4 linked regions of the Tamandua tetradactyla genome follow. The protein of the gene in region 2 purifies or fractionates together with the protein of the main gene of each other region. This does not show direct contact. Links are inferred from orthologs where the notes say so. Each region holds a gene or a part of one and is shown on either strand. Other genes may lie near its edges.

What was found.
Region 1: the proteins of ANAPC1 (region 2) and ANAPC7 fractionate together in Homo sapiens (co-fractionation; 6 studies listed by BioGRID and IntAct, with this or other methods). This does not show direct contact. The link is inferred for Tamandua tetradactyla from reciprocal best matches to the Homo sapiens genes ANAPC1 and ANAPC7.
Region 3: the proteins of ANAPC1 (region 2) and ANAPC2 fractionate together in Homo sapiens (co-fractionation; 8 studies listed by BioGRID and IntAct, with this or other methods). This does not show direct contact. The link is inferred for Tamandua tetradactyla from reciprocal best matches to the Homo sapiens genes ANAPC1 and ANAPC2.
Region 4: the proteins of ANAPC1 (region 2) and CDC27 purify together in Homo sapiens (affinity purification with mass spectrometry; 16 studies listed by BioGRID and IntAct, with this or other methods). This does not show direct contact. The link is inferred for Tamandua tetradactyla from reciprocal best matches to the Homo sapiens genes ANAPC1 and CDC27.

Annotation. Positions count from the first base shown.
Region 1 is NC_135331.1:11,114,624-11,122,454, forward strand, and holds the start of ANAPC7 (anaphase-promoting complex subunit 7), read right to left. Parts: upstream 3,010-7,831; 5' UTR 3,004-3,009; coding exon 2,798-3,003; intron 1-2,797. UniProt on the Homo sapiens protein: Component of the anaphase promoting complex/cyclosome (APC/C), a cell cycle-regulated E3 ubiquitin ligase that controls progression through mitosis and the G1 phase of the cell cycle.
Region 2 is NC_135343.1:1,056,392-1,064,101, forward strand, and holds the start of ANAPC1 (anaphase-promoting complex subunit 1), read left to right. Parts: upstream 1-4,695; 5' UTR 4,696-4,951; intron 4,952-6,525; 5' UTR 6,526-6,549; coding exon 6,550-6,762; intron 6,763-7,234; coding exon 7,235-7,396; intron 7,397-7,710. UniProt on the Homo sapiens protein: Component of the anaphase promoting complex/cyclosome (APC/C), a cell cycle-regulated E3 ubiquitin ligase that controls progression through mitosis and the G1 phase of the cell cycle.
Region 3 is NC_135328.1:130,760,681-130,767,934, reverse strand, and holds the start of ANAPC2 (anaphase-promoting complex subunit 2), read right to left. Parts: upstream 3,010-7,254; 5' UTR 2,967-3,009; coding exon 2,856-2,966; intron 2,560-2,855; coding exon 1,937-2,559; intron 957-1,936; coding exon 824-956; intron 1-823. Other genes in the region: microtubule nucleation factor SSNA1, read left to right, coding at 3,199-3,250, 3,760-3,959, 4,295-4,408, 4,501-4,608; TPRN (taperin), read right to left, coding at 6,841-6,903, 6,988-7,094, 7,169-7,254. UniProt on the Homo sapiens protein: Together with the RING-H2 protein ANAPC11, constitutes the catalytic component of the anaphase promoting complex/cyclosome (APC/C), a cell cycle-regulated E3 ubiquitin ligase that controls progression through mitosis and the G1 phase of the cell cycle.
Region 4 is NC_135332.1:20,307,436-20,314,528, reverse strand, and holds the start of CDC27 (cell division cycle protein 27 homolog), read right to left. Parts: upstream 3,010-7,093; 5' UTR 2,857-3,009; coding exon 2,830-2,856; intron 2,697-2,829; exon of another isoform or gene 2,573-2,696; intron 1-2,572. UniProt on the Homo sapiens protein: Component of the anaphase promoting complex/cyclosome (APC/C), a cell cycle-regulated E3 ubiquitin ligase that controls progression through mitosis and the G1 phase of the cell cycle.

The DNA of each region.
Region 1 (7,831 bases), on a different chromosome or scaffold from region 2:
CAGAGCGATGCCCCATAAATCTCAGAGTGATTTGAACAGTGAATATAAAAAGTATTTTCAAAGGAATGGTGAGAAAGGGGGAAAATTCAACTTTCCCAAGTTGAATTCTTGATATTCTCACAAGCAGTGTGGACAGCCAAAGCAAAAGGCTGAGCCCCCAATCTTGGGGCTTGTTCATATGAAACTTAACCCCACAAAGGATAGATCAAGCCTACTTAAAATTAGGTCTAACAGTCACCCCCCAAGAGAACCTCTTTTGCTGCTCAGATGTGGCCTCTCTATCCAGCCAACAGAACAAGCAAACTCACCACCCTTCCCCTGTGTACGTGGGACATGACTCCCAGGGGTGTGGACCTTCCCGGCAACGTGGGACAGAAATCCTAGAAGGAGCTGGAACTCAGCATTAAGGGATTGAGAAAACCTTCTTAACCAAAAGAGGAAAGAGTGAAATGAGACAAAATAAACTGTCAATGGCTGAGAGATTCCAAACAGAGTCTAGAGAGGTTATTCTTACGCATTAAACAGATATCACCTTGTTAGTCAAGATGTAATGGAGAGGCTGGAGAGGGAACTGCCTGAAAATGTAGAGCTGTGTTCCAGTAGCCATGTTTCTTGATGATGATTGTATAATGATAGAGCTTTCACAATGTGACTGTGTGATTGTGAAAACCTTGTGCCTGATGCTCCTTTTATCTACCTTGTCAACAGACAAGTAGAACATATGGAATAAAAATAATTAGGGGGAACAAATGTTAAAATAAATTTAGTTTGAAATACTAGTGATGAATGAAAGGGAGGGGTAAGGAGTATGGTATGTATGAATTTTTTTCTGTTGTCTTTTTATTTCTTTTTCTGAACTGATGCAAATATTCTAAGAAATGATCATGATGATGAATGTGTAACTATGTGATGATATTATGAATTACTGACTATATATGTAGAATGGAATGATCATAATAAAAAAATAAAAAATTAATAAAAAAAGAAAGTTACAAAGGAAATTCACGGACCAAAAAGTACAGACCAGATGACTTAACTAACTCTGAGATTCTATATATTTAGTGAAAAATAAAGACCTCGGATAAAGAACAAAATATTACTACATACAAGAATTTCATTTAGATTTTTATATAATGTAACATACATGCCTACATATACATGCAGAGATTATCTCTAGACTAATACATGAGAAACTCAATTGCTGTTGCCTCTAGAGAAGGGAAATGGTTCAGGGACAGACAATTACCTGCAAATCCCTTCTGCACTATTTGTATCTTTTAAAAAAAATTTTTTTAGCAGTATGTGTATTACATATTCAATAAGTTAATTTAAAATGCAAATGATAAAGGTCAGAACCTAAAACACCTCCTGAAACTAGAAAACTATTGGTCCCCAGTATGACACACAGCCTGGGCTATGTAAACTTAGTCTAGCCAGAGGACCAAACTGCTTCAGAGTATCCTGTAACATCTTTAAGAACTTAGAGTATTGACGGAATGTTGCATAAATCCTCAATGGTGAAACCAAATGCCTTGGAAAATCACTGGAAACCAAATGAAAGGCTCCAAAATAAACACAGAAGCCTGACAGAGACCAGGCCTCCTCACTGTCAACTCTAAGCGGCTGGCAAAATTATGAGTCTCACATAGTGAGGTCCAAATTACACTAACGGGAATGAAATGGGGAGCAGTGTCTGCACTGCATGCACTTAGGGCCTTTCCTTGCTGACCTAAACAGCTTCTGGAGCATGCCAACTGCAGGGAATCCACACTGCACAGAAGATTCAGTACAATGCCTTTTAGTCTGGGGTGGGTCAGAACAGATAGACTCTAGAGTCAGAGGGGCCCAAGGTCCAGTCCTGGCTCCTCCACTTTCCAGATGTGTGAAATTCGACAAGGTACTAGGTTGAACCCACTTCTTATGACGTACAATAAACATGTATGCGATCACTGCCCCCCAGGCACCCTGTTGGGTGATGGGGACTATAGCAGTGAACAAAACGGATGAGGCACCTGTCCTCATGGTCCTTGCTGTCTAGCAGGAGAGGCAGATGCAAATGAAATAAATAACTTCATTAGGCGGTAAAAGCCATGCAGAAAATAAAACAGGGCAATGAGATACAGCAGAGGTTACGCTGGTGGTCAGAGAAAGACTCTCTGGACCTTTGGTTCTTCCTTACTGAGATTCCACAAAAGGAAGCTCGGAAAACCCGGAAAGGGCCAGGCTATGGCATCTCGTGCAAGTCAAAGAGGCGCCACGCCCACCCACCCAGGGAGTGTTCCGTATTCGGGGGCATGCCGAGGCGACAAAGTGGACCCTCCAGATACACCCGAGGGAATACATCCATCTTACTTGGGAGCGAGTGTATACAATCCGGGAGGCTGGGCCAATCTGAGCTGCGGCGAGAGAGGGAAAACATTTTCTGTGAAGGAGCCGGGAGAGGGGGATTCAATCCAGCGACGCGACAGCCGCTCCGCTCAGCGCCAGGTGCCTTGGAAAACTCCGGCGCCCAAGGTCTGGGGCGCCGGACCCTCAAGAGGTTCTCAGCACCTCCTGCCTCCCATCCTCCGAGCCGCCGCCGCTCGCAACATCCCAAAGCCGGGCGCAACGCAGGCGCCTAGTAAACAGCTCGCGCCCCGCAGCCGGCTCCGTGCGACGAGGCCCTCGCTGACCCTGCACCCTCGATCGGGGCCCGCGGTCCCCATCCGTCCCGCCCGACCCCAGACCCCCGCAGCCCCGGCTCCCAAACCCGCGCCGCTTTCTCCTCAGCCCCAGACCACTCCCCGCCTCGACTCACGGGTTGTTGTTACTCATTGTAAGTAGCAAGCTGCTGAGGAGCCGCACGTTGGAGTGCAGTCCCGCGGCTGCCATGTCCCGGACGTGGTCTATCACGTTCATCCTGGCACACAGAGCCGCCGCTAACGGCGGCAGCGGCGGCGGCACCAGAGGCCGGTAGGAGCGCCTCAGGGAAGGCGCCAAAATGGCAGCCCCGCCGGGGTCCATCGGGTCCACCGGCGGCTCCGCCCCCAAGCGCGCGGGCGCCCAGCGCGGTGCCTGCGTAAAAATCAGAGCGCCCTCCTTACCCCGCCTACCCGGCGTGGTAGAATGACACGGGTTCTTTATTTTTTGAGCAATAATAACATCCGCATGCTAAACAGCAGGTTTTATTGACGGCTTAAAATGGGTTGGGTTGGACAAAAGGCACCTCAGTAGGAATCTAACCGAGATATTAAGATTTAACAAAAAATGATGACTGAATCGTTATACAGACGCCTTTTTCTTACCTTCTGGTATGTTGTAGAATAGTCAGTTACTGAAATCCACTAAATTTCGAACTGTAAAAACCTCTTGACTGGCCCTGCTGTAACCCCTTACCCTGTTTTACAAATTTAGACACTTATCACAAAGACAACCCCCTGATGTTAAGGAAGAAACTTGAGGCAGCCCTGAACTAACTGCGGGGTTCATACTTGTTATGGTAATGGTTAGTCTAGCTTAGGTCCAGCCTGGTTCCACTCCTTTACATTTGTAAATCGTAATAGTAACTCCACCTCCCCTTGGGTGAATCCATCAAAACACTGTTTGACTCCTTGGAAGGGGAGAGAGAGTCTGGGCCCACGGGCCATATCTGTTCTCCTGGCTTCGCTTTGCAGTAAACTCTTTCTCCCTTTGAAACCCAGTGTCATAGATCGGCTGTGAGGCACCTCGGGCAGAGATCCCCGGGTTTGATTGGTATCAGAAGCAGCTCAAGTGAAATCAGATGAGTCTAAGAGGAATTTGTGCCTCTCAGTAACGAATAAAACGAGGTGGACTCTTATAAATAAAAATAAACATAGTAGGGTGTGACACAATTCCCAACAGCTGTCATTAAATATTTTAACCAAGAGCCAGGGCAGTCCTAACTGCATTCCCCATCGGCCTGCCTAGCAGGGTGAAGGCACCACACCCCACCTCCTCCAAAGTGTTTTGTGTTCTTGCTTTGCCTGCACATTAGCTGACTGGGGTGGGAAGGGGCATAGCTTACCCTGTGAAATGATTGGCGAGCCAGCATTAATAAAGGCTAGGTCCAAGAATGAGCTGGTATCCTTAATCAGCATTTGTCCAACACAGTCAGTATTTTACGAAAGATTTACACCACTTTTTGCATTGGATGTTCACAAATCAATCAATCTATCAGGTTGAACTCGCCATTACCTTTTTACAGGTAAGGAGGCTGTCTACTTAAATTTTGTGCCTGGGTTGTTAAATGGCTTTTTTTTTTTCACATGGGCAGGCACTGGGAAATGAACCCAGGTCTTTGGCATGGCACATGAGAACTCTGCCATCATGGGCCACCCGTTAAATGGCTGTTTAAGTCAGGTGTTCTGACTCCAAATTCCTTCATTATACAGTGACTAAATATATTGGGTCACAAATTCAAATGTGTACAAGAACCAGGGAAGCAATTAAATGTCCCATAACTATAACACTGTGTGCTATCATTTAAATAAAGTTCAAAAATACACAAGACAATATTATATATTATATATGGATATGCACACCTTTAAAAAATCATAAAGAAATTCATGGAAATGATAAACATCAATCAGGATAGAGATTACCTATAGGAAAAGTGGGTGGGAATGAGGTGAGGAAAGTATGTATGGGAGCTTCAACTGTGGCAAAACACTTAGGACTGATAAAGTTAAGTAGCAGACATACAGGTATTCTTTAGGGGGATGTGGGCACCAGCCTGCCTGAGTTCAAATCCCATCTTTGTCACTTAGTATCCTTTTTTTAAAAAAAAAAAAGGTTTAAAAAAATTGTGGTAATATACACAATTGTGGCCATATAATAATATAACAATCATTTTAAACATTTTAAATGGACAATTCTTTGACAACAGTTTGTAAGTTCCACCACTATCTGTCTCCAGACTATTTTGGTCATCCCAGACAAAAACTCCTTCTCATTTAGCAATAACTCCCCATCCTCCATCACCACCACACAAGTAACCACTGCCTTGCTTTCTGTCTCTATGAATTTAAATATTGTAAGAATTTCATATCAGAGAAATCATGCTAGATTTGCCCGTCTGTGTCTGGCTTATTTCGCTCAACATGTCTTCAAGGTTCATCCATGTTATGTAGTATGCATCAGCACTTCATTTATACTAATGACAGAAAAAGATTCCACTGTATGGATATGCCACATTTTGTTTATCCATTCATCTGCTGATGGACATTTAGGTTTGTTCCACATTTTGGCCATTGTGAATAACACCATGATAAACATTGATGTACAATTCTCGCTTCAAGTCCATGATTTCAGTTCTTTAGAGTAAGTACCTAGCAGTGGAATTGCTGGGAGTTTTAAGTTTTCTTGGCTTCTTAAGCAAATACCATGCGATGGGTTGGCTTAAGCAATAGGAATTTATTAGCTCATGGTTTTGAGACTAGGAAAAAGCCCAAATCAAGGCATAGTGAAGGTGAAGCTTTCTCCCTGGAGATTATGGGGTTCTGAGCTTGGCTGCTGCCAAGTGATTCTTGGTCCTGGACTCCTCTGCCACATGGCAGTGCACATGGTGGCCTCTCCTGGCCTCTCCCTTCTCTTCTGGGTTACACTGACCTTCAGCTTCTTGCCTCCAGTGGCTTATTCTCTAACTGTTTGAATTTCACTGTCCTTATAAAGGGCTCTAGTGATAGGATTAAGATCCATCCAGATTGAGTTGGGCTATACCTTAACTGAAGTGACCTCATCAAAGGGTCCTACTGAGAGAGAGAAAGTTATGAAAACTGTGAGTAACTCAGGCTGCCATGGCTTCTGGTGCCCAGCCCACACAGTTTAAGCCAGGAGCATTGAGTCAGCCTGATTCCTACCTAGTAGGCTGCTGCAGAATAGGATGGCTGCAGAAGTCCTCTTCCCAAACAACAAAAGGGGACATGGCTCAGTACTGATGCAGCTATTGCCTCATGAATTTAGACAGCTGGGTCCCATTGCTTTAGTCCATCCCAAACAGGTGATGCTGTGCCATTGTTTTGACTAGTGTCAGAGGTGGAATCAAGAGGTCCCAAAATACCTTGTTTTCCTAGGGTTGCAGGAATAGTTGCTGGAAAGAGTCATCTGCTGGGCAGGCCAGTAAAGCACAACTTTGGAGAGCTGAATAAAGAGCTTTTTTGGCATCATTCCTGAGCCATTACCCAGGGAACTGTGGAACTGGAGTGGGTCCCTAGTATGGGTCCCTGACCCTGTATGGGCTGTGAAATACTGACAAAATAACTGGCAAAGAATTACCTTAACACTAACCCAGTCAACAACAAATTCTTAGCCAAGAAAGAGAAACCAACCTTCAGAATAATCTTATCAACATAATCAGATGCCCAGATATCAGCAAGAAATTACAGGCCATACCAAGAAACAGAAAGAGTTGGCCTAGGCAAAGGAACACATTTTAAAAGTCAGAGGAGATATATAATTTGGAACAACTAATCAAAGACGTTAAAAGAAACCTCTTAAATTAATTCAAGGAGATGAAGAAAATATGGCTAAAGAGAAAAAGGATATTAAGAAGACACTGGGTGAGCATAAAGAAGTACTTGAAAGTACCAAAAGAAACATAATAGAAATTATGGGAATGAGAGGTGCAATAGATGGGATTAAAACTTCACTAGAGGCATATGAGAACAGATTTGAACAGGCAGAAGAAGGGATCAGCAAGCTAAAAGACAGGACATTCAAAATCCAACAAAAGAACAAATAAAGGAAAGAACAGGAAAATTTGAGTAGGGATTATCAATGAATTGAAAAACAGTGCAAAATGCAAAAATATATGCCTCTCGGTTATCCAAGAAGAATGGAAAGGAGAAGGAACAGAAAGAACATTTGAGGAAATAATGGCCAAAAACTTCCCAATTTCTATGAAAGACATAAATCTACATATCCAAGAAGAGCAACATATTCCAAACAATAATCCAAACAGAGATACCCCATGACACATACTAATCAAACTGTCCATTGCCAAAGAGAGAATTCAGAAAGCAACAAGAGAAAAGCGATTCATCACATAAAAGGAATGCTCGATAAGACCAGGTTCTGATTTCTCATCAGAAACTATGGTGATGAGAAAGCAGCAGCATGATACGTTAAGATACTGAAAGAAAAAAAACGCAATTAAGGATTCTTTATCCAGCAAAACTGTCCTTGAGGGAGAGTTTAAAATATTCACAGATAAAAACAAACTGAGAGAGTTTGTAAACAAGAGACCTGCACTACAAAAAATACTAAAGGGAGTTCTTCAGGCTGAAAAGAAAAGATAGGAGAGAGACATTTTGAGGAAAGCATAGAAAGAAAGATTATCAGTAAGAGTAACTAAAACAGTAACTAATGAATATAGATGCAAAAATCTTCAACAAAATTCTAGCAAATCAAATCCAGCAACATATTAAAAGAATTATACATCATGACCAAGTAGGATTCATCCCAGGTATGCAAGGATGGTTCAACATAAGAAAATCAATTAATGTAATACACCGTATCAACAAATCAAGGCAGAAAAATCACATGATCATCTCAATTGATGCAGAGAAGGCATTTGACAAAATTCAACATCCTTTCCTGTTGAAAACACTTCAAAGCATAGGAATACAAGGGAATTTCCTTAAAATAATAGAGGGAATATATGAAAAACCCACAGCTAATATCGTCCTCAATGGGGAAAACTGAAAACTTTCCCCCTAAGATCAGGACCAAGACAAGGATGTCCGCTATCACCACTGTTATTCAACATTGTGTTGGAAGTTCTTGCCAGAGCAATTAGACAAGAAAAAGAAATACAAGGCATCAAAATTGGAAA
Region 2 (7,710 bases):
TGTAAAATGGAAATGGTATATATGAGATAGAGCCAGAGCAGGTACTGAAGGCACAAGTAAGTTACATGAGGAAGTGGCCCAAATGCCCATGGTCTCCACTCCTGCCACATCACCTTCTCTTTCCCAGACCAGAGCTATGGCCTCTTGGGGAGTTCCTTACAGTGAATTGACTGAGGAAGAGAAAATTCGGGCCTGGTTTACAGATGGTTCAGCACGATATGCAGGTACCACCCAAAAGTGGATAGCTGCAGCATTACAACCCTTTTCTGGGGTGTCCTTGAAGGACAGTGGTGAGGGGAAATTCTCCCAGTGGGCAGAACTCTGAGCAGTGCATCTGGTTGTTCATTTTTCTTGGAAGGAGAACTGGCCAGAGGTGTGTTTGTATACTGACTCATGGGCTGTTGTAATGGTTTGGCTGTATGGTCAGGGACTTGGAAAGACCATAATTGGAAAATTGGTGACAAAGAGGTCTGGGGAAGAAGTATGTGGATAGACCTTTCTGAGTTGGCTAAAAACATGAACATATTTGTGTCCCATGTGAATGCACACCAGAGGGTGACTTCAGCAGAGGAAGATTTTAATAATCAAGTGGATAAGATGACCCGTTCTGTGGATACCAGTCAGCCTCTTTCCCCAGCAACTCCTGTCATTGCCCAATGGGCTCATGAACAAAGTGGTCATGGTGGTAGTGATTGAGGTTTTGCATGGGCTCAGCAACATGGACTTCCACTCACCAAGGCTGACCTGGCTACAGCCACTGCTGAGTGCCCAATCTGCCAGGAACAGAGACCCACATTCAGACCCCGATATGGCACCATTCCCCGAGTGACCAGCCAGCTATATGGTGGCAGGTTGATTACATTGGACCACTCCCTTCATGGAAGGGGCAGCTACTTGTTCTAACTGGAATAGACACATACCCTAGATATGAATTTCCTTTCCCTGCACACAATGCTTCTGCCAAAACTACCATCTGTGGGCTTACAGAATGCCTTATCCATCGTCATGGTATTCCACACAGCATTGCTTCTGAACAGGGAACACACTTCACAGCAAATGAAGTGCGGGAATGGGCACATGCTCATGGAATTCTCTGGTCTTACCATATTCCCCATCATCCAGAAGCAGTTGGATTGACAGAACGGTGGAATGGCCTTTTGAAAACTCAATTACAGTGCCAACTAGGTGGCAATACCTTGAAAGGCTGGGGTAATGTTCTCTAGGAAGCTGTATATGCTCTGAGTCAGATATCTGCTGTATGGTGCTGTTTCTCCCATAGCCAGGATCCATGGGTCCGGGAACCAAGGGGTGGAAATGGGAGTGGTACCACTCACTATCACCCCTAGTGATGCACTAGGAAAATTTTTGCTTCCTGTCCCTGTGACCCTGAGCTCTGCTGGTCTACAGGTTTTAGTTCCAAAATGGGGAGTGCTTCCTCCAGGAGAAACAACGATGATTCCATTGAACTGGAAGTTAAGACTGCCACCTGGTCACTTTGGGCTACTTATGTCACTGGATCAACAAGCCAAGAAGGAGACTGCATTATTGTCTGGGGTGATTGATCCTGACTATCAGGGGGAAATAGGACTGCAACTATGTAACGGGGGTAAAGAAGAGTTTTCTTAGAATATAGGAGATCCCCCTAGGGCATCTTTTAGTACCATCATGCTCTGTGATTAAAATCAATGCAAAACTGCAACAACCCAATCCAGGTAGGACTACCAATGGCTCTGAAATTTCAGGAATGAAGGTTTGGGTCACCCCACCAGGCAAAGAACCACAGCCAGCTGAAGTGCTTGCTGAGGGTAAAGGGAACATGGAATGGGTAGTGGAAGAAGGTAGTGATAAATATGAACTTTGACCACGTGATCAGTTACAGAAATGAGGACTGTAATGCTGTTTTGTTCATGTTATACTATTTAAGTTGTAAAACATCAAGTTTAAGAATGAATGTTGCCCAAGGATTTGAGCCCTATTCTGGAGAGATTTAATGTGTTTCCAGTTATATGCAGGACAGTTGAGTATTGTTAGGTAAAAGAAAAAATGTGTGTTTTATTGTTTTTATTTGGGAATTGGGTATGGTTTAAAGTAATATATATAGCTGCCAAGTTGACAAGGGGTGGACTGTCATGGTCAGGTTCATGTGTCAACTTGGTCAAGTTGTGGTACCTGTTTGTCTGGTTGGGCAAGTGCTGGCCTGTCTGTTGCAATGACATTTCATAGAATTAGATCATGACCACGTCAGCTGCATCCACAGCTGATTCCATTTGTAATCAGCCAAAGGAGAGTGTCTTCTGCAATGAGTGATGCTTAATCTAATCACTGGAAGCCTTTTAAAGAGGATTCAAAAGAGACAGGCTCTCTTCCTGCTTCTGCCGGCAAGCCTCTCCTGGGGAGTTCGTCCAGACCCTCCATCAGAATCATCAGCTTCACAACCTGCCCTGCGAATTTTGGTCTCTGCATTCCCGCGGTCACGTGAGACACTTTTATAAATTTTATATTTGCAAGTGTTCTCTGTTCATTGTGTTTCTCTAGAGAACCCTAACTAATACACCAGCTTTCAGCTTTGATTTCAATTGTTTCAGAACATAAAAGATGCTTTCAGAGAATCAGTTAGATCTGTGGCCCAGAGCGCTGCAACAGCCAGCAATTTCAGGACGGTGCTTTGTTTCATTTCCAAGTTTCTTTAGACACAAAAAAATCTTCTTGGTTGGGATACTTTGCTTTCTGCTTGTGGTGGACATGTGTTGCCATTTCTGTCTACCATCTACTCTGCTTCTCATGGTAACAATACCTAAATTTCATTTTGTGGGTCCACCTCAACCCCCTTCTCAGTCCACGAGGAATCTGATTCCATTTCTGGACTTAGTGATTATGATTTAGAATCAGTCAGTCAGAGCCTCTCCTTCCCAGCCCCTGACTGAGTCACAGATGGGCACGTGACCTCAACTGGGCCAACCACGCTAGGAAAGCTCAGGTTTTGGACTTGTTTTTGTGCTCTGGGGGAAGTTCTCTTTCCCACTGGGTTTGGTGTTGGGCTGATGTGTCCATGCAGATGCTTAAAGCCATCATGCATAACCCGACAATGAATCAGATGCAGCAGGAGGTGGCCATGCAACCTTTGGAGATAGAAGAACACAGGTTCTGATAACATGATTTGAGCCCTGAATCCAGCTGCCCTTGAAGATTGTCTCCGCCCTTTCAGTCGTGTGAGCCAATGGGTTATCTGAAGAGTACTGATTGATCTGTAGCTTAATTGCTCCTGTTTTTAATTTTAAACAATTGATATAACAATATTATTATATGATTAACTATAGTCCATATGTACATTGGGGTTCACTCTTTGTGTTGTACGGTTCTATGTTGTTTTTTTTCTTGGTAACTTACACAACCTAAAATTTCCCATTTTATCTGTTTTTAAATATACAATTCCATGGTGTTAATTACAAGTTTTATATTTTGATGAAGTCCCATTTATTGATTTCTATTTTGGTTGCTTGGGCTTTAGGTGTCATACCTAAAAAATCATGGCTTAATCCAATATTTACTCCTATATTTCCTTCTAAGCATTTCATAGTTTCAGCTCCTTTATTTAGGTCTATGTCCATTCTGTTACTTTTTCTATATGGTATGAAGTATGAATCAAGATTTCTTTTTGCTTATGGATGCCCAATACCTCCAACACCAATGGCTGGAAAAGCCTTGTCCTCTCTCCATTGAATTGCTTATGCAACTTTTAACAAAACATCAATTGATGCCATTCTTTATGTGTGGGCTGCACATACTGTTTTCCTTCCAGGGTGTACGGTATGTAAAGAGGGGGTAATCTTACAGTGGAGAAACCTGAGAAACACCACCCAGCTGTCATCAAGGTCAGCACCAACAGCGGGTGTGACGATGAGGAGGGCACTGTACCTCCGTGGTCTCCCCCCTGCAACCCATCGCCCAGCCTAATCTGAGAAATACATCAGACAAATGCCAACTGATGGACACTCTACAAAACTCTTGTCCATTATACGTCAAAACCACCAGGTCATCAAAAACCAGAGGGGCCTAAGCATCCTCGACACTAAACACACTGTGTAATCGGAAGCCGGAAAAGGCAGGAGGGAAAACCGAATAAACAATGTGGGCGAGTCTGCCCAGGTCCGGGCCAGGGGCGCCTTCCAGCCGACGAGGCACGTGGACCAAAGCCCGGCGGACGACGGCGGAGCGAGAGCCAGGGATGGGCCCGACCGCAGGGCCGGTGCGCGGCGAGCGGGAATCCGGGCAGGCGGCCGCAGGAAGGCAGGGTCCGGCCAGCTGGACGAGTCCGGGCGGAGAAGGTGCCCTTCGCTCCCGGCCGGGGCAGGCGCTCCGCCGTCCCGGCCCAGGCCGCCGGCGAGGCGAGGCGAGTGGCGCGCAGGGGCCTCTTCTGCTTCCCGGGACGCGACACTGCGCGGGCGACGCCGGGGCAGAGGCTGCGGACGCCGCCGGGACGGCCCCACGCCCTTCGCCCACTCCTCAAGGGACCCTGGCGCCAAAGGCTGCGGCTGCACGAGCGTCCGGAAGGGCGGAGACCCTCCTAACTCCGCGTCCGCGCAGGCCCGGGTCGTGGGGGCGCGCTCGAGGAGCACCCAAACTGCGCAGGCGCCACGGCCGCCGAGCTCCGCGCACCTCCCGCGATGCTCCGCGCACCTCCCGCCGTGCCCCGCGCCAGCGCGTGGCAGGACGGGAAAGACAAGATGGTCGCGTCCACCTGAGCTTCTGACTTGAGCGCTGCATTCTCCAGCTTGTTTGCTATTGGCAGTCGCGCCTGCTGCTGCTGGTCATTATTTCTCCGGAGTCGGGGAGGGAGAGGGGATGAGCAGCTGTGGCGACCGAGGAGTCACCGTAACAGTCCCCGCCGCTGCCTTCAGGCCCCGGGGAGCAGCCGCGGCTCGCTGCGCCTGACGCGTCCGGTGTCCCACAGGTGCGGGCCTGCAGCTCCGGGTGGTCCATGGCGCGCCCCCCGGCCCTCCGCACCCCGAGGCTGTGCGCACCGGAGGGCTGGGGCGTTGCAGGCGAGCCCTTAGGGGTGTGCGGCCCTCGCCGTCCTTCCCGAGCTAACCGCGGGGTTCCCCGCGTGGCCTCGGCTGCTAGACTGGCCGCTGTCCTCTCCGGACGGATTTGCCGAGGGCCGGGCCCTTAGCCTGTTGCCTTCGCGGCCTCCTGAAAGGACTGCGGGAGCGCACGGCCGTTTTGCAGAGACGCCGCCCGCGGTGCCTTCGGTGTCTCCCGTTCAGTTTTACTTTGTTTGCATGGGCAGCCCGGGAGCCGAGCCCGGAGTCCCGGCGTGGCAGGCGGGACTCGTCTTGCGTTGGGTTTGGGTGTTTGCTAGACCTTGTGGGCTAGAAGCTTACTGGAAAGGAATTTCTAAGCCTGTTCTCTATTCCTTCTTCCAATTGATCTTCTGATTTTAAAATAAAAATACTCTACTTTGGAAATCTCTAGTTGACTCTTTAGTATTTGCCACATATAGGACGTGTGTAGTTCTTGGTGTTAATATACCGTGTGTGTACCGAGTACGGTGTGTATATATACGGAGTAAACGTGTTTACAGTAGTGCCTGAGTTTATAGTCATTTGGGTCGCTCTGAAGAGGCGTTGTGCTTACCTCGGGCAGGTTAGTTTTCGTTCCTGATAGGCAATGCTGATAGTCTTGATTGATGGCATATCAGTTTAGTATAGTGCTTTATGTATAACTCTTTGTGTTGCCTCTAAGTCAAGTAAAAACTTCTTTGTGAAAGTTTGGAGTACCGTAAAAGTATATTTGTTGTCTTAATCGGTACAAAAAATGTACTGTGAAAAATATTTTTCTTTTCACAAAATTTTAAGAATAAACTTGGATAAAATTATGTTATCTCTTTAAATAGTAAAGGGAGACCTGTTGAATTCTGTTGTTTTCTTGTACGTTTTACAAGGCACTTTTTTAGTTACATCTGTTCAAGCTTCCACAACACCTTTTGCTAGCAGGGGGAATAAAGGAACTTGTGTCATGTTTGGTGATTACAGTTATCTCAGAAATAACATTTGATTCACAGAAAAATAAAACTTCGTGGCTCTTAAGGAAATCCATAGGATTTGAGGTATCTATGTGACACAGAAAACTGATGCCAGAAAGACCTCAGGTGAGAAATTGAGGTCAAATCTAATCAAACCCTTTTAATTCTGTGAGCTGTTTCAAATACTCTAAAGTTTGTCTCCAGAGCTGGCATCAAGTGTTTGTTTTGATCTCTGTATTTGAGGATTACAACTTAAATGTGAGACCACAAATTCTGTTTTCAACATAGATGTTGGAGATGGGATTGACACTCAGCTTGCATACCACATTATATAGTGTCAGAATTCTACTAGCTGTTAATCACTATGTAGAAATGTTTGGGAGGTAGAGAGGAGTGTTTTGACCTACAGCTCATTTACATCTCTTCTGTAAACTTTTTTATGGTATTTTTTTTGCTCTATTTTGACTCAAGAAACTGACCAAAATGTATTTGAATTCATACAGAAATAATGTTGATATTTGGAACCCATGTCGAACTTCTATGAAGAAAGGGCAGCGATGATTGCAGCCAGGGATTTGCAGGAATTTGTTCCTTTCGGTCGAGACCACTGCAAGCACCACCCTAATGCACTGAACCTTCAGCTTCGCCAACTGCAGCCCGCCTCTGAGTTGTGGTCTTCCGATGGTGCTGCTGGCTTGGTGGGATCCCTTCAGGAGGTTACAATCCACGAGAAGCAGAAGGTTCCATTAAGTTTCCCGTTATGTTTTTGAAAATAATTTAAGACTACCCAGATGAAACTGAAAAATGAATATAATGCTAATTTGAGGGTAAAGATTAGGGCTTGACTAGTTTAGTCAAGGCTAAAATGATGACTTTACTGTATTATGGTGTCATAGTTACCTATTTTGACATGCTGTAAAACTCGTTGTTTTTATATTAAGTTCAGTGTGGTTGAGATCCATTTTAAACCTCTTCTTCACGTAGTGTGTAGGGACCACATTTCATGTTAAGTATTAAATGGTAGAGATTAGGTATGATCCCTGTTGCAGAAGATTTGCATGCTTCTAGAGAAGCATAAAAAGTGTCACGTAAGTGGTAGAATAGTTTTGGTGGCTTTGACTAAGTGTTAAATTTCTCATTTGTAAACACTCAGATCTTTTTACCTTGAAAAGAAGGGTGCTTGAACATGTCCTGTGTGTGTGAATTTTTAAGGAAAGCTGGCAGCTGAGGAAAGGCGTAAGTGAGATAGGAGAAGAAGTGGACTATGACGAGGAGCTCTATGTGGCTGGAAATATGGTGATCTGGAGCAAAGGGAGTAAAAGCCAGGCACTGGCAGTTTATAAGGCATTTACCGTTGACAGTCCTGTTCAACAGGTGAGTTATTTAAATTTTAGCATTTGATTAACTGTTTTTACACTTAAAAAACTATAACAGAAAAGATGAAATCATCTATCACGATGATTAGCAACTGGGTATATAATTTAATGTGTAGTGAAGGTAATGATAGGAAAATAAAAAGTTCATTTTATTTTGTATTTCATCAGTTTTTTTTCTTGTTTACTCTATCTTTTGTCAATTGAATGATAGTTTTTATTTATTTATTTTTGCATGGGCAGGCACTGGGAATCGAATCCGGGTCTCTGGCATGGCAGGTGAGAACTCTGCCTGCTGAGCCACCGTGGCCTGCC
Region 3 (7,254 bases), on a different chromosome or scaffold from region 2:
GGCAGCAGTGACCCTAATGCAGGGTACATGAATGACAGACACATGGGTTGTGTGGGAGGCATATCCCCCTCCATGTGAACACAGCCACACACATGGGATTAGACATGGGACCAGTACATGACACAGCATGATGCAAACCACCAGTGTACATGTTCACTGGCATGAGGACATGGCCCACAGACCATCCCATGCACAAGGCTGCCACCTCCTAGGCCATGTTCTCTCCACCTGGGAACAGTGCGCTCATTCTGCTGGCTGCTGGTGCTCATGCCCACTCTAGGCTGGAGCTCTGGAGACAACACTTTTAACACTGTGTGCCACAGGGACCTTGGGAACGGCGAGAAGCAAACAGGTCCACACACTAGGAGCCCAGCTCCTCTGTGGACTGAGGGCGCCCTGGGGCAAGCTGCAGGCCTACGAGCAGACAGCGGACACCAAGGCTCTGCCTCCCTCAGCAAAGGGTGACCTTGCCACCACGCCATTCTGCCCCAGACCCCGCCCCCGCAGTGACTCTGCTCTCCTTCCCTGCCCTGCAAGGAACGCTCAGCCCATGGAGGCATGCAGGCTGGTCGTAGGGGCCTTGTCAGGGATGGAAGTGGAGCCCACAAAGAGGAGGCAGCAAGGTCAAGAAGCAAGTGGATTCCCCACTCCTGCCCTTGGCACTGCCCCTGCCATGCAGCTCTGCGTAGACCTTGGACACTGTCACCAGAACAGACCCAGAAGATCTGGCCTCTACCTGGCAAGAGGGATGGGTTTCAGTGGCCAATGAAGTGCTTTCTGGCAGGGCCAGTCCTGGTGGAGGCACGGACAATGGGCACCTCACCTTGTGAAACTCCCGCAGGAATGAGCGCTCGTACTCGCCCCGGCAGCGATCCTCCATCCTTTCCCGTGTCACCTGATGCAGAGTGCTGGTCACTGCCTCCGCACTGACCCGTTCCAACAAACTGAGCCTGTGTCTGGAAGGCAGAGTAGTGGGTATACTTGGCGCATGTCTGGCCCGGGAACCCAGGACGGCCCCGCATGTGGAGCACAGTGCACACCTGCCACCCATGCAGGGAGAGCTCCCACTGCCGCCTCAAAGGGCAGTTGTACCAAGGGCTTCAAGGAAAAGCTGCTGGGAAGGCAGAACCCTGGGAAGCAGCTGCACACCCCACCCAGACAGCATCCTCTATCCAGCAGCAGTAAGTGTGGCTCCTGGGGCCAAGCTTCATTTACTAGGAGTGCCTCTGGAACAGCAGCCAACAGTACCCTGCCAGGTGAACCTAAGTACTTTTCAGTGCAGACCCTGATCTAAGTGACAGGTGGCCCAAAGGGAAGATGAGAAAGAGCATTTACACCCTTCAGGGCCTCCTCCCTTGGTCCAGCTGAGATGCTATCTCCCAAACGGTTGCAGTGCTGCCACTTCACTCAACGTGACAATATCACCACAGGCAGGCCGGGGAGACCGAGACAGTTGCTAGAGGGCTCATGTAATAGGATCTGGCTCTAACAAAAAAAAAAGTACTCTTCTCTCAAAGTACAGGGAAAGAAGTCCGCTTGCCTGTCATGCTGGTCCAATCTCCCCACAAAAGGAAATAGCCAGTCTGCTGTTCACAGCCACTGCAGTAAAAACTAGGTACTCCCATGAATACAAACACTGTTCCTCCTTTACAGAGCTTACAACTGGCCAAGGAGAATTCTGGGCAACGCAGGAAGTTTGGGCTCCTGCAGATAAGAGCCATGTGGGGTGGTAGTGGAGAAGACATCCGGTATTGGGTTGAGTGTGAGCAGTGTGAAAGACACACCTCTGGGTCCAGAAGAAAAGGTGTATCTTACTGCCCAGAGATGCCAGGAAAGCAGGTAGAGCCCTCAATCAGCTCTCTGCAGAGACCTATCAAAGAAATAATGTGGACTCAGGAGGACCGGGGGAGGATACAGCCATCCCAGGGGTACTCACAGGACTTGGCTGAGCTGCTGGAACTGCTCTAGAGCCTGGCGGCACCAGCACTGCTGCTTATCACTGCCGCACCCAGCACACAGCGGGCTCTGCAGAAGCCGGTAGTATCGGCGGCGGGCATAGCGGCTGTCCAACTCCCCCTCCAGTTCCGGGTCTGTGCCTCCTTCCCCCTTCCTTTTACTCTGCATATAGACTCGCAGGTAGCGCCCATAGAGGCGCTGAATCATATCCTGAAAGGTTCTAGGAGTGGAAAAAAAGAGGACACCCCGCACCATGGTGTGGACCTTTTCCCGTAGCCCCTGAGCACCAGTGCCCATCAGCAGACCCAGGCGAGTCCATTTCTCCAGGAGTTCGAGGCTCCTTAGGTAGGGGTGCAGGCGGCTCTCCAGCAGGCCGAAAGCGTCAAGAAGCAGCAAAAGGCACTGGGGCTCGTCGGCAGAGTTCTCGCGTTGGGAGACGGCATTCCAGAACTCCGGAGAGATGTTGGCCTGCAGGTCGTTCTGCAGCACTTCTACGAACCACTCCTCCAGAACCGAGTGCAAACCGTGGCCCCTTAGCACCTCCACCGCCGCCCGGAGCTCCTCTTCCTTCGGCGGGACCGCACCGCTGGTCCGGGAGGACGCCTAAAGTGCAGAAAACCGCGAAAAGAGGAACAAGGCGAAAAGCGGGGAAGGGCGGCAGCGGCAGGGGAGAAGCGGGGAAGGGAGCGGAGCGGGGAAAGGCTGTGGAAACCCCGCCGCCCCTTGTCGGCAGCGCACGGATGTCCGGCAGTCGCCAGGCATGGGCTGCCAAGGGCGCCGAACGCGGCAGAACTGTGGGGGAAGGAGGGAGGACGGCGGTGGGCGAGGCTGGAAGCCCTAGAGAGCGACAGGTTCCCAGGAACCCCAGGTGGGCCCGTGAGTGTGTTCCCGAGCCTCACCAAGCCCAGCGCCGCCGGTGGCACTAGCCCGACGCTCATGGTGTCCCAGGCCACCAACAGCTCCGGTCCAGGCCCGGGTTCGCAGGCCGTCTCCTCCCCTGTCGCAGCCATCTGCGTCCACCGGCTCCAGGTCGGCCCTGCGCGGCGCGCGGCGATGACGCTCGGGAGGGGGCGCGCGGCGATGACGCTCGGGAGGGGGCGCGCGGCGATGACGCTCGGACAGGCGCGGCGCGCGGCGATGACGCTCGGGAGGGGGTGCGACGTCCGTCACACTGGCGGGCGCCGGCCTTGGCGGCGGTAGCGGCAGTTGACTTGGCGGGGAATCGGGCGGCGTGCGACGACCATGACCCAGCAGGGAGCGGCGCTGCAGAACTACAACAACGAGCTGGTCAAGTGTGAGCGCCCGTCCTGCGGCCCCGCCCGCCTGGGTGTCCCGCCGGTGCCGGGCGGGGGAGGCGAGGGCCCTCGTGGGTGGGGTGCGTGGCGGCTTTAGCTTTGGGCGAGCCCCCGGTATCCTCCGTCCTGGGTGTCTGGCCGGTGGAGCGGGCCTGGGCCGGGGCTGACGCGGGGGCCTTCTTAGATCAGAGTCGCCGTTGGATTTAAGCTGATGAACGCGGTTGGGACCGGTGGGCCTGTTTAGTGAGTAAAATAGAGGAGTGCCTGGAGCGCTTACTGGCTCCTAGGCACGCCGTCCACAGCTCTTTGTGCAGTGACTTGTTTAACCCCGAAACCCTGCTAGGAAGTTCCTTGGACCTTACTTGGAGGGACGATGATGCCGCCAGGCCTCACTTTAGACTAGCCTTCCACCCACCACAATTTGGAAGGATGGGCTCTCGAGTTTGGGGGATCGAGTGACTTCCTACCCTGAGCCCCCACCAGTGCCTCCTTCCCACCCCTGCTCTAGGCATCGAGGAGCTGTGCCAGAAACGGGAAGAGTTGTGCCGGCAGATCCAGCAGGAGGAGGAGGAGAAGCAGCGGCTGCAGAATGAGGTGAGGCAGCTGACTGAGAAACTAGCCCGGGTCAACGAGAACCTGGCCCGCAAGATTGCCTCTCGCAACGAGTTTGACCGGACCATCGCAGAGACAGAGGCTGCCTATCTCAAGGTGGGGCTCCGGGGGGAGGGGGGGGACCCAGGGGGCTGCAGGCTGGGCTGAGGGCTGATACTGGCAAGCCTTGGACGTTCTGGAGAAGTGTGGCTTGGGGTTCCCACCAGCAGCAGCTTCAGTTCCTGTCGCTTGGACTCTGGGGCAGAGCATCAGGAGCACACAGCTATGGGCAGGGAGCCTCTGGGACTGGGGCACCTGGACCAGTATGGAGCCGCAGTGTTGTGGCCCTGTTCTTGGCTCCATACTTATTACTCAGTCCGTTTTGTTCAGTGCAAGGGACAGAACTTCCAGAGTACAGCTGCAGTCAAAACTAAGTCTGCCTGGCTCTGCAGGCTGGGGAAGAACAAGCTTTGGGCCGGACACAGGACGTGCCTGGCCCTCAGGAGCTTTATCCCGGTGGCTCTGCCTGCCCCCCTGCCAGCGCGCGTCCCCTGCAGCACCTCTGGGTTGGTATGCTGCTTGCCGTGAGTGTGAGGTGGGCTGCGGAACCTTCCTACTCTGAGGAGCAGTGACAAACCTTTTGTTCTTCTGGCCTCAGATCCTGGAGAGCTCACAGACTCTGCTTAGCATCCTGAAGAGAGAAGCTGGGAATCTGACCAAGGCCACAGCATCAGACCAGAAGAGCAGTGGAGGCAAGGATAGTTGATGAGGCCACTGGTGGCCTGCCTCCCGCCCCACGCCGACATGGCCCCCAGGAGATCTGTTCACAAAGTGTCTGCCCTTGGCAGCAGTAACTGCCGCCCTCCATTGCCCTGGATGGAAAGAATGCCCACGAGCTGCCCATGCAGATGGGGAGGGCCTGGCTTAAGCTCATGGCGAGCTGCAGGGAGGGCTCCAGGTGGCTCTGCATGGGGCCCTCTCTGAGGCCTTCACCTTCTTGAACTGCTGAGGAGCCCAGGGTCTAGTCCCAGAGCCCCAGGAGTCTTCCCCTTGCCCTCCTCAGCCAACAGAGGCCCCAACCAGGCCAGTGTGGGAGGGTGCCAGGGCTTCAGAACCCAGATTTTAGAGCTCAGACCTTATGCCCAGCAACTGTGAATAAAGGTTTTCTTTGCAAAGTTGGGTATCAGCCTACTGTTCATGTCCTGGGTTGTGTGTAGGTTTTACCAAGAGGAGAGCCTGGAGTGGCTTTCCCATCATAGGATCCTCTCACCTCAGGGGTGCAGACCAGACCCACTTTTGCCCACCCTGCCCAGATCAGCCCCAGTCCCTGCTGCCCCATGTAGGGCCACATGTCCTCCCCCTCAACCCTAGCACACTGGAGTAGTTCTGTGAGGTCTCTGATTACTGCCCAGTGCTTTTTTTCTTTTTTAGCACGGGTAGGCACTGGCAATCAAACCCAAGTCTCTAGCATGGCAGGTGAGAATTCTGCCTGCTGAGCCACTGTGGCTCACCCTGCCCAGTGCTTTTAGACCTGGTATCTATAGCGAGACTTTGCAACTTGTTTGAAGTTGTAACGGCCAAACAATTGCACGTCAGCCCCTAACCAGGCACAGGTGCCTCTGGACCCTATACTCAAGCTTCTGCCAGAGTCTGACATCATCCCCCATCACCACATACTGGGTGCCACCCACTTTTCTTCCATGTGAAGGGACCTGGCCTCTAGTATGAGGCTCCTCCATGCCCCCATGTAGTCGTGTAACAGCCTCATGAGGCTGCAGCAACCAAGGGCCTGGGGGACTGGGCAGATTTGGAAGTGTATGTTGACCAAAAAGGTCGCAAGAAAGCTGGCCCCACTGATTCTGAGAACATGGCAAAACCATCTCTCCTTCCCAAGCCTGGACTGATGACCTTTCTCCTGGGTTTGACTCCTGAAAAGGCATGAACATTCATACCCAAAGCCTGAGCAGGATTTGTCTATGGATTTGTAAATGGCTGCAACTCAGCAGGCACATGCACAGCTGAGAGGATGTTTAAGGGGCCACCAGCCCAGCAAAGCTCCCCATCTAGAGCAGGCAGCCCTGGCTCCCCCCAGCACCTGTCAGAATCCACTGAGTTTGCCTGCCTGCCTGCTTCACCCCCCCAAGCCCAGGTGAGAGGAGATTCCTGAGGCCCTAGCATGCTCTTGCCCTCTGCAGCACCCACTCAGCCTTGTCTTGGTCCTCAGGTCCTCCCCAGCTCTTTGCTCTGAACCCATGAGGGAGCTGTTCTTATGCATCCCATCCAGCACCCACCACATGCATCTGAGGTCTCAGCCCCATCACAGAATTCCAGAGCTCAGGTCTTAGCCAGCCCTGGGAGAGGCTGCCGGATGGGAGTGGGCTGCTTCCCCAAAGGGCCTCCAGGGCCTCTGACCCCCAGAGTAGCACACAGGACAGGTGCCCACCCCCACCCCACCCCAGGCAAAGGCGTGAGGGAGGGGAGACCTGGGTTTGGGGATAGGGGTGAGGGTCTGGGCACGTAGACTCCTTGCTGTTCTCTGGCCTCTTCCTCCAGCAACAGCACTTCAAAGATCCCAGCCCTGCCCTCTACCACTCCCCCGCCACGTCCCGCAGCTTTTAGGCCAGGCAGCAGACCATCCAGAGAAGAGAGGCAGCCTTGTCCAGTGCTGTTTATTGGGTCCATTCGTCAGACAGAACAGACTCGGCTAGGGGAGGTGGGCAGTTGGTGGGGGCGGGGAGCCCGGGCTTAGTAGGCTCCTGCCTTGTTCCAAACAGGGCCACTGTCCTGCAGGACTCCTGGCCCTCCCCCTTGGGCAGTGCCCACTCTGCTGTACTTTGGAGCCCACCCACAGAGAATGACACCCAGTCAGGCCCTGTCTTTCCGTCCTGGCATGTCCTGCAGCCCAGAACGGGAGGTGGGGTATTGTGGGGCAGTGAGGCGTGGCCTGGCCCATGGGGCACCTCAGGGGCTTGGCCTGCCCGTCTTGGCTGTGCAGATGTCAGAAGTACAGGGCTGGCTCGCTGCGGAAGTCCGAGAGGTCACTCTGACTGGCGGGTGTGAGCTGCCAAAGAGATGGACAAGTGGGTGTCCTGGGACTCATCCAGGCCCCAGAAACACCCTCGCTGCCTGACGGCCCCCTACTCACCATGATCTCCTTTGGGAGCGGCTCCCCTTCACTCAGAGCTGGCTCTGGCATCTGCTCAGGCCACTTGCTGAAGGCCACGGAATGCTTTGGAGTGTAGCTGGACAGGCCTGTGGGGAGGCCACTTGTGTGGACATGCAGCCCAGGCACACGGCCCTGGGCAGGGCCCTCGGGGGGCACTCACCTGAGCTGCTGTCGGGCAGCCAAGCGCCCTCGGGGCCCACGCTGTTCACGAACTTGGCCCGGGGCAGAAAGAGCCCAAAGGGCCTC
Region 4 (7,093 bases), on a different chromosome or scaffold from region 2:
GGCAGCACTGTCTTCAAGATACTCTATTGTATCTAAAATATATGGTAATCCTAAATATAAGGTTCTAGCCAATTAGAATATACAAATTTTTGGTATGTAATCAAATAGTCAATACCTATTAATTTAATCACACATATTTTTAAATTACAAAATATATTTAGTAATTTCATTTTTTTCTACTCTTACTGCTTATAAGAATTTCACCCAAACTGTTCACATACATCTTTGACATCAGTATTGTCGTCATCACTACAGCCACTTTTTTTGGTCATTTAACACAATTTTCCAGAGTATACTACCTCCAATTCTAAGTTATCTGAAATATGGTAATCTTTGAATCCATGTTAAGTGCTATCACAAGACACAATTCCAAGCCAAAAGTAGTCCTTCACTATCTAGTGATCTTACAGCGATACTGCGTATATAGTACCCACTTAACTATATTGCTTATTAAAATTGAGTTTTAAAAAGCTTGTTTACAACTTTATCCAACACATCCAACTGTTAGGTCCTACTTCTAAGAACAATGGTTTAACTTACATAAACATTTTTGCCTCTTTTTTAAAGACTGAGTTCATCAGGAAACTTTTATAAAGATCCAACTAGCTCTGAGTATAGTCATTTAGGCCAGCGTGTCTTCCTCAAAAAGTTAATATTAAAAATAAAATAATCAACAGAACTTCTGCCTCAAAATGAGATTTTTGTAAATATACAAATACAAAGTAATACATTTGGTATGAAAGGAAATTTGGGGAGGGGCAATGCCCTTATAGTTACGATTATGTGCATATGTGGTTTATCAGACTGGCTATTCCTTGTTAAACCTTTAATGAAAAAAAAAGAAAAGCAGAATAACAGTTGGTCATCTTTCAACTTTTTCCAATGCTGGTTAATACTATGAACTCTAAGGCATCCCAAGAAAGGAACAAAGTAATTTCCCAACCTACTCTCACCCTTTACCCATTACATGCAATCGGTTACCCTAGTTTATTAAAATATAGACAGCATCATATTCATCTGTCCTACTTTTTTCCTCACTAATTCTTTCCCATTTTCAGCACTATCCCTGATCCATTGGTTTTTATCACTTTAACCAAAGTTGCTTGCTCTTCCCACTGCTCCATATCCTAAAACTTCTTACCAACCCAAAATCTAATGGACAAAGCTAGTGACGGGTAAAAAAAAAAGACATACTCAGCTTTTAAGCTTTAAGAGATATCTAAGTGCATTAACTGCAAAGAGTATTCTAAGGAAAAGAGGAAAACTGACGGGCACTATCTAGAAATAACCTACATATTTTTCTTGTCCCTGCTTTTATAAAGGTTGGAACTATTATTAAATCGTGTCATATGCTAACAATGAAACTAGTTTATCACTTTAGAAGCCTTTCAGGGCCAGACAGAGCAAAAGTATTAATTATTAAGACAAAATTACAAGATATAAAACAGAAATTAAGCAACTTGAATAATATGTTTATCCACTTAAGAAGGTACAGTTAGTAACTTCATTTCCTGTTAGGCCTCAAAAAATCTTAAGAGACTCTCTACTGGTAAGACAAATGTGGATGGAAAGAAATACCTTTGGAAGCACTGGCACAACTTGTAAAGAAATAACTTTGCTGAGAAAGAATCCCACGTTACATTAACTCAAACACTAAGGAGTTGCAACGTGTTAAGACCTGGAGAAGTCAAACTAGGAGAAATGAGTAGTTTAGGCTGTGAAGAAAATTAAGGAAATATGGAAGTAGTAATGTATTGAAATAGTTATTATTAGCTATCGCAGGCCTATTAAGAGCAATATGAAGTAATCTGTGTAAAATCGGTTTGCTTTCTAACTTCAAAATAAGGAAAGTCCAAGACTCAATGACAGCAGGTGATAGAAGTCAACTCTTCAATCAAGTCAAAGATCTTGGCATGAAAGCTCCCCAAACCTGGTCAATAATTAAAGGACAAAAGATTCCATTTCTTCCGATGGCGGGGGGTGGGGGGTGGAAATGACTTGGCACTGCATCACACACTTAAAATCCAATGGGGTTTCTTCCATACAGATAGAGCACCGTGCGTCAAAGAATACCTTGGTGTGATGGGCACAGTAAAATGGATGGAAAAACCATTATTTGTCTTTCTGCTTCCCAAAAAGTTTATAAACACGCACAGTAAAATATTCCTGACCCCCATGACAGGCAAGGGATAAAAAACAGATTGGCCGTTTTCACTCTCCTCCCGTTTCAATAGATGCTCTGCACCTCAGCACTGGGCCTTGGACTTCTCTTCTCGGACCATTGTCCAGTAAGAAATTCACTAATCGAGAAAAGCAACAGAGGCTAGAAAGTCAGTTACTAAAACAGAAATAATAAGTGTTAAAAATACCCATACTACCTTCCCTTCACCGTCTCACATAAAATGAAGCACAATCCCGCAAACTTGCTCCACCATTAGGGAGATCATACTAGCTCTGATCCAACATGTTTCTCCATCATCCTTTCGACAGGAGAGCACCTGGGGCGAGTTTTCGGCCGTTCATGTCTCGCCCTAGTAGAGGCCAGGCCCCTAGACTGACAGGAGGGGCTGGCCGAACGCTGGCACGGAAGGGCAAGGAGGTATTATCACCGAATCGACCAGAATGGGGGTAGAAGTAATGTAGGGCCAGAGGGAACACCCTTAGGTTGCGGGCAAGGCAGCTGAACTGACGAAAAGGTAGGCAGAACCCGGCATAAGGAGAGGCGGGAGAAGCAACCCGGCCTAGGCCGCACCAGGCCGCGGAGTGGCCATACGCCGCTTCCCGACTGAGGCTGCGAGCCAAGCCTCAGAGAGGGGGGTTTATCTTTACCTGGACGGGTTCCTGCAGCACCGTCATCCTTGAGGCTCAGGCCCACTTTCTGCAGTGCCTCAGCCCCCACCCCCCGTAGCGGCTCGGGCCGGCCAGCCCCGGCCAGCCCCGGCTCATTTAAACTCACCAGCGACCGTTACCGGGGGATGGGGGAGGCCGAGCGATTGCCGAATATCTCCGAGCGGGACACGGAAATACCCGAAGTGGAGATGGCCGAGCGGGAGCCAGACGGAAAGGCCCGAAAGGAGCCGGAAATACCCGAAGTGAAGTGGCGGGGAGGGAGACCGTTACCGGAAATTGTCGAGGATTATCGGAAACTACCGAGTGTAACTGAGAGTGTAAATTCCCCTTCTCAGCAACGCCTTCACCCACGCATGCCACGCCCAATCGGCCTCCAGCAGGCGGGCCACGCCCAAGCGGCAACCGGCAGGCTGGGCGTGGCGGGACGGAGCGTTACGTGGCTGCGGTGATGTTTGGATTCGCTGGTCAGTTAACCTTTGTGGAATAATTGGTGCTCGGTGGTTTAAGCAAAGGGTAAAACACTAGAGTTCGAGGCTGACCTTAATCAAGACGTATTTGTCTGTTGAGTTTTCGTCATTTAGCTACTTTCTCACGGTTCTAGAGGAAATCAGAGGAAATTCGAAAGGATTGTCGTGCCGGATGATTTAGTTGGGCCCTTGTCTTCAAGGAGATTACGATCTATTTAAAGGAAAAGCAGTGTGACAAAGAGTGCTACATTACGTGATTCCCATTATAAGTGATGTAAAAATTAAGAGAGATAAATTAATTGGGATTGAAGATAAAGAAGGTTTCTTGGAGGGAAAAAAAGGACATTTAAATTGGGCCTTGAAAGATAGGTAAAATTAAGCCAAAGGAAAGGAAGCAGAAAGATCAGGCTGGTAAGAATTAAGACATTAACTTGAAGTAGTTATCTAGGTGACCAAATTATGAAAGAATCTCAGAAGGCAGGTAGAAATTTTTATTCTTGATAGGAGAGGAATTCTCGTCTATTGGAAAAAGGCCTGATTTTGAATTTCAATTCTGGCACTATCCGGTTTTAGGTTCTTCAGCAACAATCCCTTTTCACTTCTATTTGCTTAGACTGGAAAAAAAAAAAGATTAAAATAATGAAATGCAGTAACGTATGTGGCTGTGCTCAGCACATGTCTCTCAAATTTCCTTCCTGCCAAGTAAAAAAATGAGTGAGCTAGGGAACTACTAAAATTTTGTTTTTGTTTTTCAGCAGATGATGAAAACAGTTTTTAAAGGTTAATTTTCTAGTCAGGGCCTCTTTAGGCTAGATATGGGACTCAAGGTATTGTGTGGAAAATTCCCCTTTCTGGTTCCCACATTTTTATGCAGAGGAAATCAAGTTAGAGTGGGTTACTCCCTTCCTTTTGGTGAGGTTGGAGAAATGCCTTTTTTATTCTTTTTCATACCAACTGACATAGGTACCTCTTTCTCTACCAGCCAGCCTCTTTAGTCACTGCTCATGCACTTGTACTCCTGCAAAAGGTGATTTTCTGCTGTCCTGTGCCCTCTTCTTTTAGTAAGATTATACTGGATGAATTACAGTGGAAATAAACTTCTTAACTGTCCAATATGGTAGCTATTAACAGCTAGCTATTTAAAGTTTAATTAATTAAAATTAAAAATTAAGTTCTTAAGTCACCCTAGTTACATTCCAAGTACTCAATAGACATATGTGGCTAGGGGCCATCATATTGGCCAGCACCAGTAAAGAACATTACCATCACAGACAATTCTTTCAGACAGCACTGGACTAATGATATTAATTAAAATTTCTTGAGCCTTACTTTGTGTCAAGCACAGTTCTAGGTAGGTTTTTTGATTGATTAACTTTTCCTTTAAAAATTTTCTTTGGGTGCATGGGCTGGAAATTGAACTTAAGTCTCCCACATAGCAGACAAGAATTTTACCCCTAAACTACCTGTGTATCCCCAATTAGCCAGCACAGGTAGTTCTCTTATTTTATAGATGAGGAAACTGAGGTTAAATAACTTACCACAGTCACACAAATGGATTCAAATCCAGGAAATCTGGCTTCACATTTCTTACTAACCCCATGCTATGTCGTGGAGAATAATTAGTAATCGAGGTGTTTCAGTTGTCTGTTGTTACAGAATAAATTACCCCAACACTTAGTGCCTTATAACCATAACCATTTTATTGCTCATGATTCTGTGGGTCAGGGATTCAGAGAGAGCCCAATGGGAAGGCTCTTCTTTGCTTCATGTAGTGACAGTTGGGGTGTCTTTACTGGGACTGGAAGATCCAAGATGACTTCACTCACATGTATGGGGTCTTGGTGTTAGTGTTGGCTGGCTCAATTCGTTGCACATACTTCTCTTTCCACATTGACCTTTCATCAGTCAGAAGTACCCTCAGCTTCTTGATTTAGTGGCTGGCAACCAAGAGGTCAAAATGGAAGCTGTGAGGCCCCTCAAGGCCTAGGACTATAAGTTAAACCTCATCACTTGTTGGTTTAAGTAAGACACAAGATCAGCCTGCATTCACCAGGAGGAGAACCCAACTCTTGATAGGAAGAGTGGCAAAAAAGGCACAGCAAAAGACATGTGAGATGGAAGGGACTTTTGGACCTTCTTTGGAAACAATCTACCGTCAGAGGTATGAGATGAGAGAACCTGGTCATTAGGAATGGAAAGAAAGTAATGGATAAGAATATCACTTTTAAAATTTGACCCTTTTAACTGCATACAATACTCTAGATTTGTTCTAATCAATTCGGGATGCAATATAACTGTTATTTTTAGTATCTGGATACTTCTTTTAAGTAGACTAAAGTTGTCTTTGCATTTGTTTGCAACCACCGCACACTGTTTTCTTATGCTAAGCTTGTGATCATTTTACAAACCCAGCTCATTTTCATGCAACCTGCTGCCAACCCAAGTCTTGTACTTGTGCAATAGTTTTTTTTGGTAAATCTGAATGTAAGAATTTACCCACAGGATACATAAAGATAATTATTTACATGTAAACGTGCCTCTAGAGCCAGCATTTAAGGAGTCTGTTATGCTTGGCACTTTGGCTTTTAAGCTTAGAATTTGCCTACAGCCCTTTTTCCCCTAAAAATGAGAATCTTTTTTTTTTTTTTTGCATGGGCAGGCAAGAAACGAACCTGGGTCTCTGGCATGGCAGGTGGGAACTCTGCCTGCTGAGCCACCATGGGCCAAGAATCTTTTTTTTTTTTTTGACCATTTTCATGCTAATATATCTGTTGTTATTTTCTAATCATCCATAGCAAGGCCACATTGAAATTGTGCTTTGATAAATTCTTTTATAGCATTTTTACTTCCTTCTCTGTCCTGATTAATCACCACCCAGTAAACACTTTGACAACCTACTCTTATCCATTATCCACATATGTTTAGCTGGTGAGTGAAATTGGGTTGCAGTAAACATTATTCCAAAAATGGTAAATTATTTCTTCTGCTTATCCTGCCTCCTGGTCCATCATGTTCAATCAGATTTGGAGGCCAATACTTAGGGAACTATTGAAGAAGCTATATATGGTTTCATTGGCAAAATGCAGGTTCCACTGAAATGTAGCCCAGAGTAAGTGTGCTTTTCCTGTCAATTCCGTCTTTCCTCCTTGTCGTCCCCTTCATTTTGTCCCTGCTGTATGCTACTTTACATTCTCCTTATCTTAACTGACTTAGAGGCTTTTTTTCCTTTTTTTTTTTACCCCATGTTTGTTCCTTTCTCCTAGTCAATTTACCCTTTCCTTTAGCTTCTTGTCAACATAAAAAAAAAAGGCCTCTTGCTTTTTTTTCCCTTTAGTTTACTGTTGATTGCTAGCTTCCTTTACAGCAGCTCTGCTAGGTATAATCTTTGAAGTGCTTCAGGAATCTGTTCTAGGCCTTCCTCTCACCTTACGCCTTCTGCTTAGGCAAACCCACCCATTCTTGTGGTCTCAGTTTCTCATCTGCAAGTTGTTAAAAAAATCTGTATCTCTGGCCAGGTTGCTTCTTAGAGTTCCAGACCCAAATGCTTAGCTGCCAACTGTCTCTATCTGGATCTCTCACAGGTACCTTGTTCAGTATGGAATGCCTCATTTCCTATACCTGAAATATTTCCTATCCCAGTTTAAAGGATTATCATCCTCTCCATTGAACAAACCAGAAATCACTCTTTTTCTTTTAACTCCAACATTTAGTCACAAAGACCTATAGGCTATATGGGAAAATGGGCAATTAAACAAGTGATTCCAGCAAAATTGGTA